Mus musculus: one gene and its partner. The protein of the gene in region 2 interacts with the protein of the main gene of each other region in a biochemical or structural test. Links are inferred from orthologs where the notes say so. Each region holds a gene or a part of one and is shown on either strand. Other genes may lie near its edges.

Region 1 (10,131 bases), on a different chromosome or scaffold from region 2:
CTCCAACTTAAAGATCCACCTGCCTCTGCCTCCCAAGTGTTGGTATTAAAGACATGTACCACCACTGCCCGGCTGCCACAGCTACTCTTAACTGCTGAGCCATTTCTTTCCAGACCCTCTTTTAATTAAAAAAAAAAAAAGAAAAGTGTGTGTGTTTGCCACATGTATGCAGATGTCTGAATTCCCGATCCTCTTTCCTCCACCTGGGCTTTGTGCTTGTTAATCAGGCACTCTACTGAGCTCCAGCCCCAGAAAGATTGATTTTTTTGTTTGTTTGTTTTGTTTTTTTATGGGATCCCTGGAGCTTGCGTTACAAGCAATTGTGAGCCTCTAGATGTACTGGATCCAAGCCCAGGTGCTCTGCTCCTAACCACTAGGCCATCCCTCCAAGCTATGCTCACCACACCAGTTTTTTTTTTCTTTTTTTTTTTTTTTGGCTAAGATTTATTTATTTTATGTATGTGAGTACACTGTAGTTGTCTTCAGATGCACCAGAAGAGGAGGGTATCAGATCTCATGGATGGTTGTGAGCCACCATGTAGTTGCTGGGAATTGAACTCAGGACCTCTGGAAGAGCAGTCAGTGCTCTTAACCGCTGAGCCATCTTTCCAGGCCCCACACCAGTTCTTTTTAACCATCAAACTCTCTATCCCTGGCTTTAGTTTTCTATTTTATCAGTAATCACAAAATAATACCCCATGCTTTTTTTTTTTTTTGAGAAGCCCTAAGTGTAGCCCAGGCTAGCCTTAAACATGTAGCAGAGGATAACCTTGAATTCCTGATCCTCTTTCCTCCACCTGGGCTTTGTGCTTGTTAATCAGGCACTCTACTGAGCTCCAGACCCAGAAAGATTGATTTTTTGTTTGTTTGTTTTGTTTTTTTTGGGACAGGGTTTCTCTGTATAGCCCTGGCTGTCCTGGAACTCACTTTGTAGACCAGGCTGGCCTCGAACTCAGAAATCCGCCTGCCTCTGCCTCTGCCTCTGGAGTGCTGGGATTAAAGGCGTGTGCCACCACGCCCGGCTAAGATTAATTTTTTTTAATTACTGTGTTAGATTAATTTTATTTTATATGTGTATTTTATACACTTAACACTTAGTGTGCTTGTGTGTGTGTGTGTGTGTGTGTGTGTGTGTGTGTGTGTGTGTGTGTGTACTACATGCATGCTGGCTGCTTGGCATGGGTGCTGGGAACTTAATTTCAGTCCTCTGCAATAGCAGGATATACACTCAACCACTGAGCCACCTCTCCAGCCATAAGACTGTGTGTGTGTCCAGAAGAAAACATCAGATCGCTAGAGCTGGAGTTACAGATGGTTGTGAGCTGCCATGAGGGTGATGGGAATTGAACCTGTGTTCTCTGCAAGAGCACTTGCTCTGAACTGCTGACCCATCCATCTCTCCAGCCCCCAGTTTATGGTTCTTGAAGAAATCATGTCTTGTGGAACTGACCTTAAACTCATCCAGTCAGTCTCTGGTCTTGTTCCAGTGTACTCTTCAGTACACTTCCAGGCTGCTGCTGTATGCTGCTGGCTTCTCTGTTGAAGGAGTTATGTTCTGCTCATTGATGCTCCACTGAGGATCAAAGCAGGATTTTCCAATATTCAGCTCTTGGACCGATTGGTGCGCTCAACACAGAAGGTGCCGCTTTAAACAGTCAAACTAAAGACTGCATATGGGACCTTAGGGCAATGGAGTCTCAAACAGGTGAAATGAGGACCAAAGACTCTCAGTGACACCACTAGAAAAATCCACTCTGAGGGATTTCCCAGATTCCCTTGAGGTCACTCTGAAACTCCATCATAGTTGTCCTGGGGTAGAGATTGAGTGCCCGCTCCCCAGACACCCCCCCCCCCCAATCAAAACATCCCCGTGGAAATTCCTTAGGAATAACCAGGCTTCAGGCTTGGGTGTGGAGTGGCCTGGGAGCTGTGGGCTCTGGAGGAAGAGCACACGTGCATCTCGACCTCTCCCTTCCGCATCTGCAGCACGACCTCCTGGCCCAGGGCTGGTCTCCACAGCAACTGTATAGGCGTCTTAAAACAGGAAGCCTCGGGCGTCCAAAGGCCAGTAAGCAAGCCACTGGGTCTTGGAAGACTAGGGTTTGATATCTCTCTTTGTCCAATCTCATTGTTCAAGGTCTGCCTCAGTTTCACTGCGAAAAGCAAGAGCAGTGGAGCACGAGGCAGGATCGGGAGTTCAAGGTCATCCTCAACTACAGGGCGTTTGAGGTCACCCTGAGCTACTTGACACCTGACCTCAAGAAGAGACAGCAGGGGGAGAGATGAGAGGGGGAAGGGGAGAAACTAGCACGGGGCGGGGCCAGAGGATGGAGGAAGTGGGGGAAAGGAGTGAGAAGGAGAGGAAACCCCCCCATAAGGCGCGCTGGGGAGTGGGGGATCTCTGCTTTCTGAGAGGTGCCTCTCCTCTTCGGAGTTCTGTTTCTCATCCAGTCTAAGAAAGGGAGGTGCAGGGCTCCACGCCACAGGACCAGACATCTTCCTTCCTTTTGGGGGAGCTGTCAAGACGCCCCAGAAGTCAAAGCAGAAAAGGGGAACCGAGGCCGCGGGGGCGGGAGCAGTCGTGAGTGGGAGAAGGGAAGTGAGGACTGCCTCTCAGGCAGGACTTTCTCACAGCGGATCTGTCCGGGCCTGCTTGGATCGCTGCTTCATCTCTAGTGCCAAGTGGGTGGAGCATGGTCCTGGGGAGAGGGGCACCTCTGAATGGATGGCGTCCCCTAACGATTCCAGGGAGCCCTTATCCCCGGCAAGGGCATGTCTGGTGGGTTAAAGAGGCTTGCAGTAGTTGGGGAAATCAGGACTTGATTTCGGATCCCTGCGAAATGCCGAGCCTCAGTTTATCCCTTTGAGGGGATGGCGGTCCTGATGTCGCAGGGGACTAGGCAGTAGTCAATCAGTTAACCAGGAGGCGTGACTCCTGGAGGCCCGGGGCCTTCTCTCCGGACTCACCTGCTGGTCTCTGACACCACCTCCCCCCACATGTCATTACTTCAGTTTGGAAATTCCTAGATCGCAGGGGCCAGCGAGGCAGGACCACCCCTCTCTGCCAGGGCACAGTCTCCACCCGGAAATACCGAAGCCCTCGTTCCGGAGGGGAAGGCGCGAGGTTTCCCGGAAAGTGGCCCCGACAGCACCGCCCCTCGGCCCCCCGTGAGCCAGAGACTATAAAAGCGCCGCCCGCCTCAGTCTGCACCCAGTGCTAGTGCTGAGCTCCGCTGCTACCTGCACTTTGCCCTGGCCCTGCAATGGCTTCAACCCGTGCCAAGCCCACGCTACCTCTGCTCCTGGCCCTGGTCACCGTTGTGATCCCTGGTGAGTCCGAGGTGGGGTCGCTTTGGGGGGCAGGTCTCCAAACTCCAGGACCCAGAGCGCGGTCGAAATCCCTGCTTCCCGGCCAGCGGAACATCACATAAATTCAGCTGTTAACGGGAAGTGGGATTGGAAACCCAGGGTTGAAAACTAACAGCCCGGAGTTCGAATCCCACGTAGCATCACTCCATGGGTGGGTTACAGAACCCAAAATCTCGGTCTCTCTCTCTCTCTCTCTCTCTCTCTCTCTCTCCCTCCCAGTCCCTCCCTCCCTCCCCCTCTCTCTGTCCTCTCTCTCTCCCCCTGTCCCCCTCTTCCCCTCCCTTCCTTTCTTTCCTGTTTTGAGAATGATGCCTTGACACGTTAGCCTAGGCTGGCCTTGAACTCAGTCCTCAAGGCCTCGCGGCTCTTCGGGTTACAGGCTCAAAACACACTACTCTCCTAAAACATGCACGTTTAGAACCTGGGCTCATGGTCTGTGCAATGGGAACTGTGGTCACAGTCCTTGTCATGGGGCAGTCAGAATATGGCTGAGGTGGGGAACAGATGGTCTGAGGGGCTGGCCCGTCCTAAAGTGAATCTTGAGGTCCGGTTCCCTCCCCCACAGACACCCGTTCCTCATCCTCACCCCTGGGGAAGTCCAGGCTGCTTCTGCGCTGGGGAATTCCAGGGTTGGTGTACCCTGGAGCCAGAGTGAGCCGGCTCAGGACTCCCCACCTTGCTGCTGCCTGGGGGCGGCGCCTGCCGTCCTCCCAAGAGAGGAAGATTCAGAACTTGTTCAGCAGCTATCAGGAGGCTCCCGACTTGGATTCCCGCAATCCATAACTCCTAGCTGGATGACTTCTTCTTGCCTCAGGGTTCTCCAAGGAGCCCGAATAATTCCAGAAGTATTGAGGAGAGTTGCTAGCTGTTATAGCTGTTATTACCTCCACCAGACCACCAATCATAGCACTGGGATCTTTGCGTGTGTGGGGGGGTGAGGGTGGAGAGATGGGGGAGGGGAAAGCTGAGTTCAGTTTTTTGTTGTTGTTGTTATTGGTTTTTCTTGTTTTTTTGTTTTTTTTGGTTGGTCTTGTTTTTTTGAGACAGGATTTCTCTGTGTAGCCCTGGCTGTCCTACAACTTGCTCTGTAGACCAGGTTGGCCTGGGACTGAGACCTGTCTGCCTCTGCCGCCCCAATGGTTCCATCCCCCACCCCCATTCGTTGTTTACTTTAGTTAAGTGGTTACACTTTATTTACTTATTGTACAGGCATGTGCTAGTGCCACAGCAGAATTGTGGCGCTCAGAAGGCAGCTTGCAGGACCACTTCCTTCCTCCTCCCTCTGCAGGGGCTCCGGGGGCTGAGGGCAGGTGGTCAGGCTTGCTGGCAAGCCCTTTACTGGCTCAGCCTCTTGTTGGCTCCTTTTTTGATGTTTTCACATAGAAACCATGTTGGCCAGGCTGTGTACTCCAGGCCAGGCTAACTCCTGATCTTCCTACTCAGCCTCCCAAGGGCTTGGTTTACAGTCCTGCGCCTTCACACCCAGCTGCGGACAGGCCTCAAGTCTTTGCATAAGTTAGTGAATGCTCTGCTTCTGGGCCCCCTCCCACCCCCAGGACTGAGGGATAACCTCAGCCACCCAAGGAACAAAGCAGTGTCTTACTGTGTAGCTAAAGCTCACTGTATAGATCAGGCTAGCCTCAAACTCACGAGTCTCCTGCCTCCTGAGTGCTGGAATTAATGGTGTGTGCCACCACATTTGGCACTGGGGACACCGTGACCCAGAGGATCTTCTTATTTCACTCTCTTCCTCTTCGTGCTGAGCATCCAGCCCCTGCCATGCTCCTTCTTCTGTCTGAAATTGGCTTCTTCTTCTTCTTCTTCTTCTTCTTCTTCTTCTTCTTCTTCTTCTTCTTCTTCTTCTTCTTCCTCTTCCTCTTCCTCTTCCTCTTCCTCTTCCTCCTCCTCCTCCTCCTCCTCCTCCTCCTCCTCCTCCTCCTCCTCCTCCTCCTCCTCCTCCTCCTCCTCCTCCTCCTCTTCTTCTTCTTCTTCTTCTTCTTCTTCTTCTTCTTCTTCCTTCTCTTCTTTTTCTTCTTCTTCTTCCTTCTCTTCTTTTTCTTCTTCCTATTTGGCCAGAGCCATCTCACCCTCCAGACCTCTGCTCAAATCTGTCACCAAGGAGTTATGTCCTGTTCTGTTCTGCTTAAGCCAAAAAAAAAAAAAAACCTCTTATTAACAACCACTATGGAGTCTGGCGTGGTGGCACAGGCCTTTAGTCCCAGCACTTGGGAGGCAGAGAGAGGTAAGGCATATCTTTTTGTGAGGCCAGCCTGGTCTACAGAGTGAGTTCTGGGGCAGCCAGGGTTACATAATGAAATCCTACCTCAAAAAAAAAAAAAAATCAAACAAGCTAAAAAAGGAAAAACAAAATAACAACAACCCATCCACCACTGAGGCTGGGCTGGTGCTGGGCCACGAGGGCAGAGCGCTTTCCTAGCAGGTCTGAAGACCTGGGCTCCTGTATCCAAGGCTGTCCTTACACTCCATTTGTAACCAAGGACCTTACTCAACCCCTGATCCCCCTGAGTGCTGGAGTTACAGGCGTGTGCCACCACACCCAGTTTCTGGGTGCTGAGAGGAAGGAGCTCAGGCATGCTAGGCAGTCAGCCCAGCCCCTCCACACTCATAATTTGTTGCCTTGTGTGCTGGGCACAATGGCCTCCTGCATGGGGTGCAGAATTCTGCCTGGCTGGAGGCTGTGAGGCCAGCACCTGGCCCTGAAGTCACAGGGATAACCAAACTTCCTCTCATCTCTCCCCCCCTCCCTTGTTGTTCCAGGGCCTGGTGATGCTCAGGTATCCATCCATCCCAGAGAAGCCTTCCTGCCCCAGGGTGGGTCCGTGCAGGTGAACTGTTCTTCCTCATGCAAGGAGGACCTCAGCCTGGGCTTGGAGACTCAGTGGCTGAAAGATGAGCTCGAGAGTGGACCCAACTGGAAGCTGTTTGAGCTGAGCGAGATCGGGGAGGACAGCAGTCCGCTGTGCTTTGAGAACTGTGGCACCGTGCAGTCGTCCGCTTCCGCTACCATCACCGTGTATTGTGAGTGGCAGGGCCAGGGCCTGGGAGCAGGGAGACTCACTGGGCACATGACAGCCTTGAAAAGTCCCACAGTCACTTAGAGATCTCTTTAAACATCTGCCAGCAGAGTGTGCCATAGGAATTTAGAACATTCTAGAATGCCACCATTGGATGCCTGGATTGTTCTGTGTTGTTTTGTTTAATTGTACTCTATGACTAATTGTGTCTAATGTTTTAGGTTTTTAAAAATAATCAATTTTTAGCCAGGCATGGTGGCGTACACCTTTAATCCCAGCACTCGGGAGGCAGAGGCAGGAGGATTTCTGAGTTCGAGGCCAGCCTGGTCTACAAAGTGAGTTCCAGGACAGCCAGGGCTACACAGAGAAACCCTGTCTTAAAAAAACCAAAAAAAGAAAAAAAGTCAATTTTTTATTTTATGTGCATTAGTGGTTTACCTCCATGTATGTCTGTGTGAGGGTATCAGATGCCCTGGAACTGGAGTTACAAACAGTTGGGAGCTGCCATCTGCGTGCTGGTAATTGAACTTGGATCCTCTGGAAGAGCAGCCAGTGCTCTTGACTGCTGAACCATCTCTCCAGCCCCAGTCATTTAATTGTTTGTTTGAAGACAGGGTCTCACGTAGCCAGGCTGGCCTTGGACTCACACTGCAGAGCTGAGGATGGCTTTGAACTGATGAACTTCCTGGTGCTGGGATTATAGGCTGATACCCCATACCTGGCTTACCTGGTCTTGGGGATTGAAGCAAGGACTTAGTGATTTCAAGGCAAGGACTCTGCCACTGAGCTGTAGACCCAGCCTCTGACCTAGATCCGACCCTTAAAAACACCTGCAACCCCAGGACTCAAGAGTGGAAAGAACAAGGATCTTAGAAGTTCACAGTCGTCCTTGGATACCTTATTTGGGACAGATAGCCTTGCCTGGACCACGTGGGACATTGGGGAGAGAGAGAGAGAGAGAAAGAGAGAGAGAGAGAGAGAGAGAGAGAGAGAGAGAGAGAGAGAGAGAGAGAGAAATCTTGCTTGGCATCAACAGAGGAGCTTCAGTTTCACATTACAGAGTATCATGGTCTACAATGCGTGGCATCCCAAGAGGCAGCAAGTGATAGGATTTAGGCAAGTGTACATGTTGCTCACCTCAATACCTGCCTAATGTCCTGTTTCCTCTGAAGACCGAATAACAGCTCATGATTGGTCTAATAGATTCTCAGAAGCAAGAGGAAGGACTGCTGGGCCCGCAGGACTCTGGAGACAAGAGTCAGAAACAGCCCTGGAGTTTGGATTGAACTTTTAAATTTGTAGTTTATTTTTAAAAATTATGTTGGGTGCAGTAGTGCATGCTTTTAATCTCAGTACCTGGGAGGCAGAGGCAAGAGGATCTTTGTGAGTTAAAAGCCAGCCTGGTCTACAGAGTTCCAGGCCAGCCAGGGATACACAGTGAGACTCTGTGTGTGTGTGCGCGCGCGCGCGCGCGCGCGTGTGTGCGCGAGTGCGTGTGCATGTGCCAAGATCAGAGGACAACTTGCAACTTGCACTAGTAATTTCTCTTCTTCCAGGTGGGTCCTGGAGAGGAACTCAGGTCAGCAGGCCTGGTGGCAAGTGCCTTCACTCTCTGAACCATCTTGCTAGTCCTCTTTATTGTTTATTGGGTTTTGTTTTTTGTTTTGTTTTGTTTTGGTTTTTGTTGTTGTTGTTGTTGTTTGTTTTTTCAAGACAGGGTTTCTTTGTGTAGCCCTAACTGTCTTGGAACTTTTCCTGTAGACCAGGCTGGCTTCCTTCTGCCTATCCTGGGCTCCTAAATACTGGGATTAAAGGTATGTGCCACTACCATCCAGCCTGCTGGCCCTGTTTTTATTTAAAGAGTGTGTGTGTGCCTACATGTATGAATATGCCCACACGTGGAGGTCAGAAAAGGGTATTGAAACCTGGAACTTGAGTGAGCCATAATGTGGGTCCTGGGTACCGAATTCCAGTCCTTTGCAATGGCAGCCTTAACTGCCTAACTTAACTGCTGAGCCACCTGTTTATTGTTTAAGGTAAGTTGGCTTTGACATCTTACTCTTCATGTTCCCACTCCCAAGCATCCAGATTATAGGTGTGTACTTCCACGCCTGGATTGGATATCAGTTCTTTACATTGATAGGTGTGTGTGTGTGTGTGTGCCCTGCAATCACACCAGGCTCCAGTCTTGGAAATCACTGATGCATGGATCCCTCCCACAGGGATCTGGTCAAGATCTAGGGCGGCTTTGCTCCTTAGGGCTGAGGATGGGACCGTCAGGGCTTTGTACTTGGCCAGGTATGTGCTCTGCCACTGAGCTCCACCTCTAAGTCACATTGCAGCTGTATTTGAAGGTCAAACATTTACCAAGCACTCAAAGATAGAGAACCCCAGAGATGGCAAAATAAAGTTTGGTTTGGGCATACCAAGAAATAGTATGCAACTGAATAAAAGAATGTAGCCAGTCCTTCCTACCTGAAGGAATGTTATACCTTAAAAGGAAACACACGCTACAATGACTGTTTCTGTATCTGTGGCCTCACTTGTTAGACCAGCACTCACTGCCAACTCTCCACCCAGCTTCTCTGGGTATCCTAGGAAGGGGCTCTTCCCCTGAACCATGCCCCCAACTCCTCACTGGGGAATGCCAGGGAGAGGTTATACTCAGCTTTCTTTGGCTTTGGAGTTAGCACCTGAGGAACTGGGTGACCTCTGGGCCTCTGACATCTTGGTTTACTTGTTGACCATGTCAAACCGTGGTATGATACAGGGAAGCCTAAAGGCCATCAGTCTTGGTGGTAGCTGGACAGAAGCCTTCGGGAAATCTCAGTGTAGCTTGTGGTTTGGAGGATGTGGTTGTATGTGCCAGTGCTGCCCTGGAGAGAGGGAAGTCCCCAAGCATTCCTTGTGGCCTTGGGAAGTCCCTCTTGAAGAACTTCCCCCTGGTACCTGATCTTAGAAACCCAAGACTGGGGCTGGAATTCTGGCTTTGCTGCATTTCTGTCTGTCACTTGGAAGGCAGAGTTTAAGACTAGTCTGGTCTACATAGTGAATTCCAGGTCAGCCTGGGGGTGGGTAGAGTGGGGGTAGGGATAACAAACGAACCTCAAAACCCAAGCAGGGGTTAGTGGGGGTACTCCAGGCAGAGGGAACAGCCTGGAGCAAGGCTGGTGCAGAAACTACTACCTTGCCTGGTGTTAGCACATGGGTGGCAGCCAACGTGGTTGTTGTCAAGAGCTTTCTCCTTGGGGAGCCAGGGAGCCTTGGCGGGTGTGGGAGTGGTCCTAGGATCTGTGTGACAGGAAGCTGGATTACTGGAAGCTGGTGGCAATCGGATCCAGCAAAAGCCTGCCTGAGCTTGCTGCTTGTGATTGAAGCATCCAAGATGGGAGGGGCAGACAAATATTTGAAGAATGGAGAAACTAGGAATTGGTGAGAGACTGAAGTTCGGTGTCAAGAAGTAAGACCATGTACCGTACCATGCCCTTCCCCGTGTGCCAATGTTTTAATACAGCGAAGCAGGCTCTGCCCCTGGGGTTTCATACTATAGACTGATTGCCCTGGAACTTGCTTTGTAGACCAGGCTGGCCTCGAACTCAAAGAGACCCAACTACCTATGCCTTCCAAGTGCTGGGACTAAAGGTTTGTGCCACTATTGCTGGACTCAGAGGTCAATATTTACAAAATAATTTGTTTTTATTTTATGTGCATGGATGTTTTGCTTGCA
Region 2 (10,087 bases):
CTCAAACTCCACCCCCAGTGATGCACTTTTCTCCAGTAGGGCCCAACCTCCTAAAGGTTCCATAATCTCCCAAAACAGTGCAGCCACAAGGACCAACTGTTCATGTACGATGCGAAGGGGTGGGGAGCACAAAAGGAGGCAAATTTCACTCAAATCACCATAGCATGTCTGCAGGGTATGAAAAGCCTAAACTATTTCTAAATTGTGTCAAGTTTTTCTACAAAATCATATCACTAATTTGCAAATTTGATCACTGTGTGCATTGCACATGTGTATGTGTGTGTGTGTGATTTATTTCACTTAACATAATGATCTCTACCCTCATCAATGTTCCTGTAAATGTCAGGATCCTATTCTTTTTTATGGCCAAGTAATATTCCATCACACACGTGTACCCCCTCCCTTTTTTTTTTCCCCCGTTTATCCATCAGTGGATTCCAAATTCAACCATGGCTTTGTCTCTTGTAGTCAGAAGTCTCTTCAGCATACTAATTTCCCGTCATCGTGGTAGTTACCCAGTGACTAGTTCTATTTGTGGGTTTCTGAGGAAGTTCTATCTGGTCCTCCACAATGGATGGACATGCTAATTGGCATCCCTACCAAAAGTTCATAGTGGGGGCTGGTGAGATGGCTCAGTGGGTAAGAGCACCCGACTGCTCTTCCAAAGGTCTGAAGTTCAAATCCCAGCAACCACATGGTGGCTCACAACCATCTATAACAAGATCTGACGCCCTCTTCTGGAGTGTCTGAAGACAGCTACAGTGTACTTACATATAATAAATAAATAAATCTTAAAAAAAAAAAAAACTGAGTGCATTTACATTCACTTTAAAAAAATAAAAAAAAAAAAATAAATAAATAAAAAGAACATCATCAGGCCAGTCACCCATGCTTTGTATCCTGTGAGGCTGAGACAGGAGGCCTGAGAGTTTGAAACCTGAATTTGTAAAAAAAAAAAAAAAAAAAAAAAAAAAAAAAAAAAAAAAAAAAAAGTTCATAGTGTTAGCAATCAGGCATTACTACTGCCTGCCCTGGGGACCTAGGGACAGCAGGATATGTCATCGCTAGGTGCCAAGATGTGACACATTCCCACTGTCACCAATAGTCTCCCACATCCCTCCTCCTCCCCATCCACACCTCCCCCACTCTCCACTCATGTGCCAGTCCCTCCTCATTCTCTTCCTCCCACCACCCTGGTCCAGACGCAGTGGCCTCTGCACATCCCTCCCCAAAAAGCCTCCCACATGAGAGCTGTTGCATGGTATGACTCTATGGCATCCATTGCTTAGCTCAGGACACATAGGCATCCCCCCGCCCCACACCCTCACTGCGTCTGCCTTTCTTTGTCCAGTAATGGCCATGCTGGGGTGAGAGATCATCTCTCGTGGCTTTGATTTGCATTTCCCCTAAGAACTAAAGATGTTTAGTATTTTTTATATTTGTTGGCTACTCATACACATATTTCCGAGAAACACATGATCAGATCATTTGCATAGAGTTAAAATGGGTTTATTTCTCCTTTTGGCTGCCTGAGAAGAATCTCACCATTGTGCTTTTTAAAAAGGTTTGTTTTTCTAAATCATGTGTGCATATGTTTGAGGAGGCCATTAAGGGGCTTTAGCTCCCCTGAAGCTGGAGTTACAGATGGTTGTGAGCCGCCTGGTGTGGGTACTGAGAACCAAACTGCAGTCCAGACACACTAGGATTCTTTTTCTCCTCCTCCTCCTCCTCCTCTTCCTCTTCCTCCTCCTCCTCCTCTTGTTTGTTTTTTGTTTTTGTTTTTTTGAGACAAGGTTTCCCTGTATAGCCCTGGCTGTCCTAGAACAGCTTTGTAAACCATGTTGGCCTCAGACTCACCGAGATCCACCTGCCCCTGCCTCCTAAGTGCTGGGATTAACAATGTGCACCACCTTAGTGCTCTCAGTCTTGAGATGCACCTTGTGGCTAACGTTCTCATCCAGTCCTTCCTACAGGCACGGGATGCTTCTCACTCTGTCGGGTGGGTCTCCAGCTTGGCAGGGCTCTGGGCGTCTCCTTTCGTGGTCTCCTTAGTAGTTAATTTTGACTTCCTTGAGATTTCTGTAGCTTGGACTGAATTGAGACTTGCTTTGTACCCTCAGTGAGTGATCCCAACGTGTTTTGACATCACGGCACGGTGTGGAAAGTTAGAATATTCGTTCAAGCATTTCACAGCATTCTATTTGGCCTGTCTGCTTCTGTGTTACACTTGCAGTGGTTAATTTTGATTAAGAGATGACCCTTAGAGAATTAGTGAAACACTCCTTTGGGTATTTCTGTGAGGAGTTTCTAGAGAGGATTAACAGAAAACCCATCTTGAAGGTGATCAGAACCATCCCATAGGCTGAGGCGGGGATGGGGGAGAGGATCCAACACCTTCTTCTGACCTCCGGGGGGCACCCACACAGACATACACACAAACACATTAAAAAAAAAGTGCGCCGGGCGTGGCAGCACTCGCCTTTAATCCCAGCACTCAGGAGGCAGAGGCAGAAAGATCTCTGTGAGTTTGAAGCTAGCCTGGTCTTTCAGGGCAGCCAGAGGTCCTGTCTCAAAACAAAAATTAATTAATTAGCTAATTAATTAATTAATTAAAATTTAAAAGATAAAATTTAAAATTAAACTTTTTTTTTAAGAAAGGAAAACTTGAACCCCTACTGAGCTCCAAGACACACCACAGACTTCCCCACCAAGATGGCCTGTATCCCAGGTGATGAATCCTCCCTCCCTTAAAGTTCTTCTTGTCAGGTTTGGTTTCTGTGATAAGAACTCCCACTGATACCACACTACACGTGTTTGAAGGTCTGTGGCTCCATCGGTTTGCTCCAGTCTCAGTTTTCCTTTTGAGTGTATTGAAAAGTGATCAAGATTGTGGTGTCTTTGTGAGTGCTGTGGCGTATGCCCACGTTTGTCTGTTTGTGAGGGAGCTGGCTTGTGCATGCATGCTCTCGTGGAAGCCAGGGGTCTTCCTCAATTGCCCTCTGCCTCATTTTTTGAGACAGGATCTCTTTGCTGAGCTCAGAGCTTACCGATGAGCTAGACTGGCTGACCAGTGAGCATCAAAGATCCAAGAGGACAATAGTCCATATCTCCAGCTCTGGAGTACCAGGCACACACAGCCACACCCAGCTTTGCGCATGCCCAATGGGGTGCTGAGCTCACGTCATCAAGTTTGTGTTGCAAGCACTTTACCCTCTGAGCTATCTCCCTGGCCTCTGAACTATGCCTTTCTGATATTTGGTGGTGTTTGTTAGTATTTTCTACAAGTATGTGCAGGTCTTTCATTCTTGACTTTTGTCCCCCGTTCCCCGTCCTTTATGAGCTAGGATCTTACAGTTCTGCCTGGCTGGTCTTGAATTCACAGCGGTCCTCCTTTTTTTTTTTTTTTTTTAAAAAAAAGATGTATTTGTTTTTTTTATGTACATGAGTACACTGTAGCTATCTTCAGACACACCAGAAGAGGTCATCGGATCCAATTACAGATGGTTGTGAGCCACCATGTGGTTGCTGGGATTTGAACTCAGGATCTCTGGAAGAGCAGTCAGTGCTCTTAACCACTGAGCCAGTGGTCCTCCCGCATCAGCATCCTACATTCTGGTATTACAAGTGTGAACTGATACACCTGCTTTCCAACAATGTTCTTTCAACAGTTGGCATCTTTTGCACATTTTTTTTCAACTGTGAGAAGATATAGAAAATATGCATAAAGGTTCAGGGCTATTAACTTCTTGTAACCCTCTCAACCATTATCACCAGGATGTCCTGCATAGCTGATGTCCCCACTCCACAGCTTTATCTTCATGTAACTATGTCTTTAAAAATTCTACCAAGCATACTACACGAAGAAAGAGTAACACATGAACACCCAGGTCTTCAGCCAACACCCCCCCCCCCAACCCTCCGCTGTGGTCACCTCCTGGCCTCTGTCTTGTATCCACACCCACCTCCAACCCCCATCCTGATTACAAGGAAGAAAATCTGCCATGTTTTTCTACCATTTGCGAGCATTTCAGCATGTAACTCTAAAGATGCAGGTAGTGGGATGTAACCATGAAACATTGTTGCGGAAAGAATTAACTGTTTCTCAACAAGGCTGACATCTCAAATCTTATGCTAAAGGTTCCCAACTCCCTTTGGTGTCTCTCTTTCTGCCCTCTCTCCTCTTGCAACTAGTCAGGTGGGGTTTTGTTCACCACTAACTTTGTGATTGAGCTCCTACAGTGTTACTTAACACATCCCTCCATGCCCCACTCTGCCCCATTTCTCTGCCCAGGACCTTCCCCTGCCTCCTTCTTCCCATTCGCCTGCTTCCTCGAGTGGGCTACCACCTCAGCCCATCCACTTGTAGCTGGGTCCTTCTCCCAGACTGAGAACCCACACAATCAGCCTCTGCTTCCGCCTGCTGGTCCATGAATCCCTACCTCTTCTTGACATGTGAGAGAGCCCCTCGATGCTATCAATGGCTGCTGCTTCCAACAGTAGCCCCTCCACTCTTGCCGTAAAAGCTTGTCATCGCCTACAAGCCCCTCCCTCTCTCAGTGTCTCTTCTCTAACGTCCCACGTGTAAAGGGGCTGAGGTGATACCCACATGTGGGCCAATCAGCCAAATGTCACTCAACTTCCTCCTGGGCGCTGACTTAGAACAGGAAGTGTCAGGCGGGGGGGCCTCAGCGGCTGTGTTCTTTAGACACAACCACACAGCCAGCTGGCAAGAAGTAGGCAAAGACATCTCCAGTCAGATTCTCGGAGTGGAGGCTTCCTGGGACTGAGAGGGGGTGAGTGCAGGGCTCCTGTGTTCAGGTAGCTCTTATGGGAAACACCTCAGAAGTGGGCTCTTCCGGTGGAATTTCTCTTTATGACTCCAGCCCGACAGGCACTGGTGGCCTTTCCCCATCTCTCACCTTGCCTATCTGTCAAAAAAATGGTCTTGTACATGTGGCTTCTGGCTATTCAGACTCTCCTGACTGACGTCCAGGGATGGGAGGCCTGGTACCACAGCTGAGCAGAGTTTCAGGAGCGCTGGGAACATCTGTAACTGTGGGTCAGCAGGCAGCCGACTGTGTTGATTCTCTCTCTGTGATAGTCGTGGATGCCCGGGACTGAGGAAGGTCAGCTATGATAAGGGGTAGGGGTGGTGGTGGAGGTGGCTGGGACAGATTGTGGGAGGGAAGGGGTCACATACTGACACCCACCTACTATGAATGGAAGTAGATACTTATGGTCATGAAGGTGAGTGTCAGATTGGAGGTAATGAGCAAGAGAAGGAGCTGCTGAGATGTCCATTGTCCCCATCTGCTTTAAAATGGCGTGTGGGGAGTGTGTATGTGTGTGTGGGGGGGGGGGTGATTCTCAGTCTACCCTGCAAGTCTCTGGAACCTGGGCTCCAAAATGCCCAGCCCAGCTTACAGCATAGCAGATAATAAGGAAGTCCTCTACCCAAGAATCCCACCCACATACCATAGTGGCCAGGCCTGGGGCCAGCAACCACAGGGTCATATCCCAGATAGGGGGAAGGTGTCAGGTGACAGACACCCTTTCTACATCCACCAGTGAGTGAGCAGATGAGAGATTGTTGACTGCTGCCATAAGCAGGAGTAAAATGAGCAAGTCCTGAGGGTTAGTTAGGGCTGGAGAGGCCCAAGTTTCCTATCTCCTCCTTTCTCCAACATTTCTCTGTTGACATATGTGGACACAGTCTTGCCGCAGGCATGCATTAGGCTGGGGTGAATTGTGTTCACTGCGATTGTGGAGGAACCATGCAATCATCCTTTGCAGGAAGTGCTGCAGGGGGCCGGGGGCTATCTTTGATACACAGCTTGGGAGGAAGCCTTCTGCTCTCTATGGAGAAAGGGTGTGAACTGGGGAGGCCACTGAACTCTGGGGAAATGAGAGGGTGGGCTGACTGGCTCTGCAAACTCCAAATGTCTGCAGTCAATAATGACTCAAAATTCCCTTCAAAACTCACTCCCATGAGGAGTGAGCCGTGGAGACTACTGAGGCTCCCGCTAGCTACAATCTATCATCACTCAGGTGCAGGTGGTTCTCTGCAGGTGGTAGGGCTGGGGATAGGGGTGTGGGGTGTTGAATGTGTGTGTGGAGCTACATGGAGCCCTGGTGGGGTGACTCTGTAGGGAGGTGCAGGTTCTGACTCAGCTACTTTATTCACATCTCTCCCCCTTTGGACATGAGTCAGACCTGCCTGAGGTTCCCAAATGCTTCCAAGTGCACTCGGTCACTCAGAGGTTACATACAGTTCAAGCCTTGGGGGGGAAAAAACAGCTCAGGGCATCCTCTGCCTGGCTGTTGGACAACCTTAGGGGATGTTCAAGAAATAACCCCAGGCAGCCAACCCAGTACTGGCTGGCTCCATTCTCTATCTCTGTTGCATAAATGGGACCTCAAAGGGAAGTGTTGGTTTCCTCCCTCACCCCACATGCCTGAGGCCCTGTGGATCGCTCTCCATGACACTTCTATAGTGGGAGGTGGTAGCCAGGCTGAGACAGGTGGCCCAGGTAAGCCAAGTGATTAGAGCCCTATGGTTGCTGAGTGCTGCTATCTCCCTAAAGCATATATCTCTGCTGCCAGAGGTCCAGGCTGTTATAGGCTATCTGATCACACTGTGAACTCTGCATTATTTACCAAAGGGAAAAAAGGGGTTTCTATTTGTGGTGTGGCCCATTAGCACATGCTGTTAATCCCTCTGAGTGGAATACAGACATACCCTTAGTACACACCTTTGCTCCCAAACAATGAAGGTAAAGTTAATTTGTAGAAGGAAGTAGCCATGTTTGAAAGTGGTGTCTAATTGAGTGGCAGACAAAGTGACGAAGCAGAGAAAGATTTGACTGAATAGGATATGCCCAACTCTCACTAGAAGAGAGAGGAAAGAGAAGCTACTTAGAGAAAGAGGGGAGGGGGAAGAAGGAAGAGGAGGAGGGGGAAGAGGCAGTTTTTAGTGGGAGAGTTGTACAGACACAGGTGAAGACAGAATGAACCAGAGAATGAGAAGGAGCCAGAAGATCAAAACAGATTGCTAGAGTTAGTTTGAGGCCAAACAGAGCAATTCAGAAGAAAATGAGAGAGGTCAGATTAAATCAGTCAACCCAGAGAGGAGTTTGAGCCAGAACAGCTGAGTTGAATCAGCCAGAATTGAGAAAGAACTAGGAAGGGGTAAGCTTATTCAACAGCAAGTCTCAGAGGCTGAAAACATTCTAGACCTAGATTAGATTATATGAAGGCTAGAAGCATCCAGGACTAGGCCTAGGTTAGCCGACTGAAGCAGTAAGCCTCTTAGACAACAATTACATCAGGCAAATAAAAGTTACGTTTATACCAGGCCTTGCCTCTGCATGTGGATTTTGCAAATAGTCTGATAGGATTTGCTTAAAACTTTAAGAGGAGTCTTATAGTCCTTTATTTAGGAGCTTTTCCCATAGCAGAGCAAGCCTGTGGCACAGCCAGAGTCCTTATAAAGCAGAGGTCAGGTCACCCCTGTCATCACCCAGCAAGTGGTTCCTTGGTAAAGAGTTGGAGGATCTGCAGAGGTCAGGTCAGGTCAGGTCCTGGACTATTGAGGACGTGTGCCCTGACAGCTTCTCCCTCCTTGGAAAACACAGCATCTGGGCTAGTCACTGCCCCCGCTTCCCCACCGCCAGCATCAACGCAGCCAACACTGTAGTAAGAAGCCGAGAGGCTGCCTTCTGCTCCGTCTCCCTGGATCCCACAAACACCCACATCCCCATGCCATCAGTCCTGAGATGGTCTGTGTAGGGACTTAGAAGGTTGGGGTCCAACACCCCTTGAAGCTGACAGAGAAGAGACTGGCACTTTGGCTACCTCAGAAACAACCTAAGCAGGAAGCCATCCGTCAGCCTCACAATGCTATTTTGCAGCACCACCCCAACAACTTTCTGAAAGCTGGGCATTAGTTTAGGGTCAAGAGGTCTCAGGGTTCTCCACAGAAATGAGCCAACGTGAGGCAGGCCCTTCAACGGATAGGATGAGGCCCAGTGAACTATGGGAGGAAAATCTACTTTGTTGAGTCTATTGACGCAGAGGTTAATCTTGGAAAATGCCTGCCTAGTAATGTCCAGCCCCATGTTAGAACCAGTGTTTGGGCTCTGTAGCTCAGCCACATAGACACGGAGGGCCACCTGTGCAGAATCCTTTGCCTCCGTTGAGAGGAAACAGAGTGGCCTGTCTGTGAAACCCATGCAGCTGGGCCTAGGTCTAGAAGTATCAGCTCTAGGGCGGAGCCAATGTGTACATAACTTGCTGCTGTGTCTGGTTCTGGGGCTTAGGTGACAGGCTGGTCCTCTTGGAGCAAACCCACAGACTGAGGCCAGGCATAGGTTAATAGAGACACAGGCTAGCCCACATGCTGGTGTGATCTCCATTACTGTTTCTGGAGAACCACTGTCCACTTCCAGAAGCTAGCCCTGACACCCGTGGGCCTTCCATAACAGGGTCCCTACCAGTGATTCATTGCAACCAGTTATGGCCTATGTGCAAGAGATATGGACATGGGCGTGCCAGGCCTCTATGATGCTCAGATCCGGCCTGTGAGAGATGTAGGGACTTCAAGGCCTCGATGCTGCTGCTTTCAAGGCAGAAGTCTCAAATGGGCAAGGATCTCCCTGAGCTCCAGGGTCTAAGGATGCTCATGGTCAGTTCCCAAGGGAAGCCATCAACGGTGCCCTGGGGTGCTGTTTGGAATGGTGGGAGCTTTGGAACATTCAGAAACTCAGCCAGGGCGGGGGCAAGACACAGGAAAATTAAGCCTATGAATCTCTGAGAGCAGCCTGGATATCCCAGTCCACGGCCCTGAAGAGACCAGCAAGCGCTTACAGCTAGCAAAGGTCTGATGAGCAGGTTCCCATAGCAGTGTGAGGTCACCATTCTTCCTCTTCCCGAGGTCACGATGGAACTCTCCTCTCCTCAGGAATGTTGGCAGTGGGGACAGAAACATCAATCGCTTGGGGGACTGTAAGAGGCAATTTCCCATAGTGTGTTCACCAGAGCTTTTAAGTCGGCTCTGTGCACAGTTATGATACAAAGCTGGAAACTATAGACCGACTATGAAGGAGCCTGAAGGCACGGGGATGATGCTACCCACAAGACCTGGCATGTTTTGATCCATGGCTTTTTCTTTTTCCCTTCCATTTGCTCTCACTGTGAGAATGAGTTGCTCCAGCGGCTGTCCGTGCTATGCCGCTGCTGCGCCAGATCCCACAGGAAGGGCATCATGAATGTTAAAATGGTGACGCTGCCACCTTCCATTTGTAAGCTACTCCAGAAATGTCCCAGTTTTGATGGGCATCCCACGTCCCTCGGCCTCTGTGTTCTGCCTGTTGAATGCTTCTCTGAGTTCACAGTCCACGCTTCTCTGAAGGCTCACCTTCTGTCACTAGCTTCTCGAATTCTTTTAGAGAGGAAACTTAGCATTCGCTGTTTACACTAGAATTAGCGGTTATCTCCGTAGAGTGTATTATGCATGGAATGGTTTCTTCTAACAGTGTCTTCTTGGTTGTTTTCCTTTAGATTTTGTACACACATTTCTTTACCATAAGGCACACAGCCTTGTCTTATCTTTTTTCCATTGTATCTTTAGTGGGTTCTGTTGAAGACAGGCTTTTAATGTAGCCCAGGTTGGCTTCAAACTCACTCAAGAGTGACCTTGAACTTCTGATCCCCTGGCCTCAATCTCTGCTTGATTTTTCTAAAACTGAGTTATACAGATTCCTCTTCATTCTGTGTGTGTGTGTGTGTTTGTATGTTTTGAGTATATTTGTTTGTGTGTGTATTTGTGTGTGTGTGCTATGTGTGTTTGTATATTTATGTGTATGTTTTATGTGTGTGTAATTGTTTGTATGTGTGTATTTGTGTGTGTATGCTATGTGTGTATGTGTTTTTGTGTATTTATGTGAGTGTATAATTGTTTGTGTGTATTTGTGTGTGTGTGTATTTGTGTGTGTGTGTATTTTGTGGTTTTTGTGTATATATGTATATTTGTGTGTGTGTGTGTATGCGTTTGTGTGTGTGTGTTTCTTTGGGTGTTTGGGTGGAAGCC

The links. The genes of interacting proteins can lie anywhere in the genome.
Region 1: the proteins of Itgb2 (region 2) and Icam1 form a complex in vitro, tested with the Homo sapiens proteins (4 studies listed by BioGRID). The link is inferred for Mus musculus from reciprocal best matches to the Homo sapiens genes ITGB2 and ICAM1.

The regions. Positions count from the first base shown.
Region 1 is NC_000075.6:21,012,772-21,022,902, forward strand, and holds the start of Icam1 (intercellular adhesion molecule 1 precursor), read left to right. Parts: upstream 1-3,168; 5' UTR 3,169-3,263; coding exon 3,264-3,330; intron 3,331-6,147; coding exon 6,148-6,408; intron 6,409-10,131. UniProt on the Homo sapiens protein: ICAM proteins are ligands for the leukocyte adhesion protein LFA-1 (integrin alpha-L/beta-2).
Region 2 is NC_000076.6:77,525,667-77,535,753, forward strand, and holds the start of Itgb2 (integrin beta-2 isoform 1 precursor), read left to right. Parts: upstream 1-4,703; 5' UTR 4,704-4,793; intron 4,794-10,087.